Saccharomyces cerevisiae S288C: one gene and its partner. The gene in region 1 interacts genetically with each later gene. Each region holds a gene or a part of one and is shown on either strand. Other genes may lie near its edges. The genes, in order: SMM1 and TRM82.

Region 1 (3,879 bases):
ACTTCATGTCAGTCTGCAAGTTACCGTGTCACCTTCACAGTTTTCTTTTTATTTGACTAAGTAAAAAAAGAAAAGAAGTTATTTTTACTAAGATTTTGAGCGGCATTTTTCCTAGTTACTTATCAATTTTCATACATGCAAGACATACTCAATTTTTTTTTTTTTTTTTCAGTTTTAAAATTAGTCCTGATCAAAAAGCCATCACGTGGATCCCCGAAAAAAAACGGATCCGGGTAACCAGAAGTATTTTTTTCAAGGGAATAAAAGTTACCCTACCAAAATAAAAAAATTCAAGTAGGGTAATAAAGTTCCACCCCCCATCAGGATTATCGTTCTCTGACATCACCCACTCTCTGCTCGCTCTCTGCTCGCTCTCTGCTTTCTTTCCCCACGCCGGAGTGATTAAGGCGGATAGGCCCACCTGAACACCTCGCTCAGAACATCAGCGAGAGTTCCAGCCCCTCTACCCCTTACCTCTCGCCGCCCCTCATTTCGGATCAAAAGCAAAAGAACAAAGGGCCTTCGCAGAAACGGAAGGTTTCGACCCCTCGGTGCCGTTTTAATTTCTTTTTCTGGCCAGTTAAGCTTTTTGACTTTCTCGAATCAGCCCAGTGCAAAACAGTACGCATACGAGCACACAAATGTATATATATGTGTATGTATATATGTATATAGGTATGTGTGTGTACATCCGAAGCGTAAACTAATGATCTGCAAGTTTCAGATTTTTTCTCGAAAAATATAACTAATAAACGTTCCATGTCGTCCACGGATATCAAGCCTTGTGCCGTGAACATCCCTGTTTCCGCTCACATCACCTTCCACTACAAGTCGATCGCGGACAGAAGCAGCAGCAGGAGCAGCAGCAGCAGCTCCTGCTCCTCTGCTACATCTAAAGCCTGCTCCCCCAGAGGCAGCTCCGTCGGCTTACCGCCTGCTTTATCAACTGACAATGAAATCGTCGAGACTGTACTTAATGTTTCCGCTCCCGTTGTAGCAGACCCTACGCGGCCCTCATTGTTCAAGAGTAACTACACCGCAGCCTCGTGCTTGACTTCTGACCCAACCTCGCCGTCACTACTGCCCTCTTCTAGGCGCAACTCTGTATTGCCGGCAAGCGACTTCCACCAATGCGCGCATCACAAAAACTTTCAAAGAAGGGCCAGTGAGCCACAACTGCCCTCCTTCGATAATCGCTCGTCGTCCGAGATGAAAAGGTCCGTCTCGTACGCCCAGCATAGCATGATGTTCCCCATCAGTGACCAACAGGAGCCGCAAACATCCGCGTCTCCTAACGACCACTCAGACCCGTCTTGTCCTTGCAACAGACATCACCACAGAAGAAACTCGGTCGCCGTCAAGTTTGACAAACCATTGTATGAGAGACTAGAGACGTAGTTATCCATTCGTCCATCCATCTGTCTATCGTCACACAGCATTTCCCATCCCTCCTCTATACATACATACATATACAGTTCTGCGTGGTCTACGCAGCCATGTATATATATATTTCCGTCGTTTTATATATTCATTACTAAAATCGACAATGCATTTTTTGCCGCTTTCCATTTCCTCTACTTTGCTCATCACTTCGCTCGAAGAAAAAATGAAAACCGTCTTGAAAAACTTTTGCTATTTCATCCATCCAAGCCACACCAAATAGCGCAGTCACACAGAGATCATGGTTACATATGCTGGAAAACTGGTTCTAGCTCCAATGGTAAGAGCCGGCGAACTGCCCACGAGACTGATGGCGCTGGCCCACGGTGCAGATCTCGTCTGGTCCCCAGAAATCATCGACAAAAAGCTAATTCAGTGCGTCAGGAAGGAAAACACTGCACTCCAAACTGTCGACTACGTCGTGCCGTCCAAGGTTCAAACGAGGCCGGAGACGCTCGTTTTCAGAACATATCCAAAACTAGAATCCTCTAAATTGATTTTCCAGATCGGGTCTGCATCCCCGGCTCTGGCCACCCAGGCTGCTTTGAAAGTGATCAACGACGTCAGCGGGATAGATATCAATGCAGGCTGCCCCAAACACTTCTCTATACACTCCGGCATGGGCTCTGCCCTCTTGCGCACCCCAGACACACTGTGTCTCATCTTGAAAGAACTGGTTAAGAACGTGGGTAACCCTCACAGCAAACCCATCAGTGTGAAAATAAGACTCTTGGACACCAAGCAAGACACTCTACAGCTCGTCAAACGTCTGTGTGCCACGGGCATCACAAATCTTACAGTTCACTGCAGGAAGACTGAAATGAGAAACAGAGAGCAGCCCATCACAGATTACATTGCGGAGATCTACGAGATATGCCAGGCAAATAACGTGTCGTTGATTGTGAACGGCGCTATCCGCGACCGCTCTCATTTTCATGATTTACAAGCGAATCATTGGAAAAACACTAACATTGGTGGTATGATTGCAGAGTGTGCTGAACGGGACCCTACAGTTTTTGATCACACTTCTAAGCCTTCAGAAGACGGTCCATCTTGGGTCGTTGCTTGTCGCGAGTTTATTCAGTGGGCAACGAAGTTTGACAACCACATCGGCAATACAAAATACATGTTAAGCAGAATTGTCCCCGGAAAATCAGTCTTTTTTCAGTACTTTGCCCGTTGCAAGAGCCCGGAAGAAGTTAGTTTCGTACTAAAGCAATTGAACGATGATGGAAGCGCTCAAACAGATCCTTCAGAGTACTTGGAAAACTGCAGAGCTCAAGAAAAAGCTTTGAAAAACGCCAACGCCATCGCCAAGCAAAAGAGGAAACAGACCGATCACATAGGCAGTGACACTAAAAAGCAAAAGGTTGTACCCCTTCCCACAGATATATAATATATTCTAAGTAAAAAGAACGGATTATGAAAGAAAACGCGCATAATATATATATGTATGTATTTTCTAATTTATATTAGCAACTAAATTAAATTACATCAATACTATTTTTTTTTTTTACTTTACAAGGTTTATTTCAAAGTCTTCAACAATTTTTCTTTATCATCGGTAGATAACATCTTGATAACTTCAGATAATCCATCAATAGCATTGTCATGGTCGCTTCTGATCTTTTTAGCTAAGTCTTGAGCGAATGACTCTAATTTCAAACCCTTTAGTTTATCGTCCAAAGTTTTGTAGTTTTCTTCAATCCATGTTGCGACTTGCCTATCATCTTCATGGTCCACTGAAGCAGGGTACCACGATCTAATTCTTGCGATCTTTTCTAATCTTGATGCTTCGCCTACCTGATGGCTCAACCTTTTAATCAAATATTCTTCGTTCAATCTTCTTCTCAATCTCCAGAAGAAGAAACGACGTGCCTCGGTCCATTCCAGTTCCTTAGAAATAACACCCTTGGCCACCATACGTGAAGACCTATCGTGCAAATCAGCAAATTGAAGACTGATTTGTCCGTAAATTGGCAATAGTTCTCTCTCACGATCAGCTAATTGCTTGGATATTTGCTGATGTACTTCTGGAGCCAAACTCTTGTTGGATAATTGAGATCTCAATTCTCTGTACTTGTCATCCAATCTGTTCATGGTGTCCAGCAATTTTTCTCTACGGAACTTGATACCAACCATACCTTGTGGTTCCAAAACACCAGCTCTAGCGTTGACGTCGGCATACATTTCCATTTGGTCAGCGTTGATAGTTGGATCGACAACAACCCATGAACCACCTCTTAGTTCACCGGTAGGTGGGATATAGATAATAATTGGTTGTTTGTAATCCACCAATGCGTCAACAATAAACGAACCATACTTCAAGACTTCGTTGAACATATCACGTTGACCACCAGAGAAACCTCTCCAGTTGGCCAAAATCATCATTGGCAATTGTTCACCGTTGTTAAAGTCATTGATAGCTTGAGCAGTCTT
Region 2 (3,655 bases), on another chromosome or scaffold:
CCGCTAATTTTCTTTCCGCGTTCTCTCCTAGGCATTCATCTACCAGTGTCTTATGCAAAATCAGCCTTCTTCTTTCTTCATCAAAATCTTTCAGGTGCGCTACGACACTCAGCAGATCGGTAGTATTCTTTACGTTCGATCTATCAACCAGCAGAGGGTTTTTAGCAATCAGTTCCTTGATTCTTCCTTGAATATATTCGTTGGCATCCATAATATGCTGATGTTTCAAATCAATCCAGTCAGGATCATACAAATCTACCAATTTTGAAACCTTTTCCTCTTGCTCACCAGCTTCATTCTCGGCAGAATAATGATATATATCTTTTTGTGTGTCCACATTAGCTACCAGGTCATAAGCCATTGCTTGATAGCTAAAATCATGTAATATTGGCGCAAAAGGGTCCAGTGTTCTATCGGTGATTATTAGAATGGAACGCGGTCTTTCAGTGTTTTGAGGAGGGAAATCTGGATTATTGCGAGCGTATGTATCTATCGCTATTTGGAAAGCGTTTGCAATAGACCTTGTTAAAGAATTTGCGTTGACTACGGCGTTTCCATTGCGGGCATCTTCCTCTTCCACAGGATTAGATACAGAATATCTAACAATCGGATATTCCCCCGTAATAACACACAAACTAACTAGTGAGCCTACAATCTTCCTCACGTTAGTAGGAATCAAAGCCTTACAGTTGTTGTTGAAAAAAACCTGTAATGAGTGTTCCATTTGTAAAGTTTCGAAGAATTGAGATTCTTTGACGAAAAACCCTAGTTCGATCGGCTTAAATGACTCCAAATTTTGAGCAATGTAACGTTTTGATTGAAAAAACTGAAATATAGGGTTTGTTAATCCTGGTAAAAATCTGATGTGACATCTTCTGTACTTAGGTGGTCTTACCATGAAGTCAGCATCGATACAATTGATGTTATATTTCGTTGGTTCCAATATGTAAATTGCCTCGATGGAGGATTGTCCTTTTCTTGTTGGGGAATCAATCAAATCAACAGATGTGACATTATTTAAAAGTTCTTGGGGTGTGAGGAAAAGATAACTCAATATTGTCTCCACAGTTTTATCGATAATAAGAAACTTCAAGTTATTTTTCGTCTCAATCTGATTCAAAACCCCTATCAAATAGTTCCTCTGTAATTCAATTAAATCAGACATCGTTCCGCCAAACCAAGCATGTGCACACTCTTCTACTTTGTCAGTGGATTCTAATTATTTTCAAGGTCTTACAAAGCAATGTCTTACTAGTTTCAATAGGGACTTAAACTGATCGTTTAAGCAAAAGAAAAACACCGTGCTGTGTGACCATCTACCAATAATTGCGAGAACATAAGACGACGCCGCCATTCACCTCTCTATCACTTACACCATGTTATAGGGATAAGTGTGTAGTCGATCGGCTATTCGATGATTTTTAAAGAGTGCCTGTAATAATAGCTGTATCGCAAGTAAGGAATACAAGATTACTGATATTTTGATCCAGGAGGATGGACATGTTAGATAGAAAAACTAAGAGGGCTACTACATCCGGTTTAGTATTCTGTTATTGGGAATGCTTTTCCCAAGACGCAAGCAAGAGGTGACACATAAACATAGTTTTCTTATTGTATCGTTACATATTCTTATTTTACGCTGCTGTCATTAAATATGGCACTTATCTCAGATACATTTCTTTTAATCAGCGAAAAAAATGGCGAGGTGAAAAAAATCGATGAGATGAAAAAATTTTTTACTAGTAAAGGCGTATTGATGATATATTAGCAGCTAAAGTATAGCAAGGTTTGTCAATTTGAAGCAGTCCGCGTGTTTTACAATGAGCGTCATTCATCCTTTGCAGAATTTACTCACCTCTCGTGATGGCTCATTAGTTTTCGCCATCATTAAGAATTGTATCTTAAGCTTCAAATATCAATCGCCAAATCATTGGGAATTTGCTGGAAAATGGTCTGATGATTTCGACAAAATTCAAGAATCGAGAAACACCACTGCTAAGGAGCAACAAGGACAATCCAGCGAAAACGAAAACGAGAACAAAAAATTGAAAAGTAATAAAGGCGATTCCATTAAAAGGACAGCAGCCAAGGTACCATCTCCAGGTCTTGGCGCCCCACCGATATATTCGTACATAAGAAATCTGAGATTAACTTCGGATGAATCAAGACTAATTGCGTGCGCAGATTCTGACAAGTCCCTCCTAGTTTTCGATGTCGACAAAACTTCCAAAAATGTCTTAAAGTTGAGAAAAAGGTTCTGCTTCTCAAAGAGACCGAATGCTATTTCTATAGCCGAAGATGATACTACAGTCATAATAGCTGACAAATTTGGTGATGTATATTCTATTGATATTAATTCTATCCCGGAAGAAAAGTTTACTCAAGAACCTATTCTCGGTCATGTCTCTATGTTGACTGATGTACACTTGATTAAAGACTCTGACGGTCATCAATTCATAATTACAAGTGATAGAGATGAGCATATTAAAATTTCGCATTATCCCCAATGTTTCATTGTGGACAAATGGCTCTTTGGTCATAAGCATTTTGTTTCTTCCATATGCTGTGGCAAAGACTATTTATTATTAAGTGCAGGTGGTGACGATAAAATCTTCGCTTGGGATTGGAAAACTGGTAAGAACTTGTCTACCTTCGATTATAATAGTTTGATTAAACCTTATTTGAATGATCAGCATTTAGCACCACCAAGATTTCAAAATGAAAATAATGATATTATTGAATTTGCAGTTAGTAAAATTATAAAGTCAAAGAACCTACCGTTTGTTGCGTTTTTCGTCGAAGCTACAAAATGCATAATAATTCTGGAAATGTCCGAAAAACAAAAAGGGGATCTTGCACTAAAGCAAATTATAACTTTTCCATATAATGTTATCTCATTATCCGCCCATAATGATGAATTCCAAGTCACCCTAGATAATAAGGAATCATCTGGTGTGCAAAAAAATTTTGCCAAATTCATTGAATATAACTTAAATGAGAATAGTTTTGTCGTGAATAATGAAAAATCAAACGAATTTGACAGTGCCATCATACAATCAGTACAAGGGGATTCTAACTTGGTGACCAAGAAAGAAGAAATTTACCCGTTATACAATGTTTCCTCGTTAAGAAAACATGGAGAACATTACTCGTGAAATAAAAAGGTAGTAAGTACATCTTTATAACTAATATAAAAAAAGATACGTACCGATTTGTGTTAATAATCATTGTTAGTACATCTTTATACCTCTGTTTCTAGCTGAAGGCGGCGAATTGAATAGCAGTTCTTTTTAAATTGGCAGATACAATAGGATTAATCTCATTGATACATTTTTGTAGTCTATTTGTGTCGTTCTGGAAACAGTTTTGTAAGCACGCCCTTAATGTGGCCTCGGTGTCCTTTTCAAGTAAAGGACCCATAACCTTCTGAAAGAATTCCAAATCCACTATAATTTGTAATGAGCCATCATTAGAAAGATTACCAACATAAGGCTTAAATGCCTCAAAGAGGTATCTGGCTATAAAAATCTGCGTTTCAATTAAAATCTTATGGATGAGCTGAGGCCCAATTCTAAAGCACTCACTGTGAACCACGATCAGAATCATTAACGCTTCTATAATATAGTCACCAACCCTGAATGAATTTGATGTATAC

The links.
Region 2: mutations in SMM1 (region 1) and TRM82 impair growth when combined (synthetic growth defect), as found in Saccharomyces cerevisiae (one study listed by BioGRID).

What each region holds. Positions count from the first base shown.
Region 1 is NC_001146.8:651,706-655,584, forward strand, and holds SMM1 (tRNA-dihydrouridine(20) synthase (NAD(+))), read left to right. Parts: upstream 1-1,681; coding exon 1,682-2,836; downstream 2,837-3,879. Other genes in the region: PHO91 (Pho91p), read right to left, coding at 1-7; YNR014W (uncharacterized protein), read left to right, coding at 760-1,398; acetyl-CoA carboxylase ACC1, read right to left, coding at 2,968-3,879. UniProt on the Saccharomyces cerevisiae protein: Catalyzes the NADPH-dependent synthesis of dihydrouridine, a modified base found in the D-loop of most tRNAs. Specifically modifies U20 in cytoplasmic tRNAs. Also able to mediate dihydrouridylation of some mRNAs, thereby affecting their translation.
Region 2 is NC_001136.10:783,051-786,705, forward strand, and holds TRM82 (Trm82p), read left to right. Parts: upstream 1-1,820; coding exon 1,821-3,155; downstream 3,156-3,655. Other genes in the region: SEC1 (Sec1p), read right to left, coding at 1-1,165; exocyst subunit SEC5, read right to left, coding at 3,256-3,655. UniProt on the Saccharomyces cerevisiae protein: Required for the formation of N(7)-methylguanine at position 46 (m7G46) in tRNA, a modification required to maintain stability of tRNAs; its absence resulting in tRNA decay.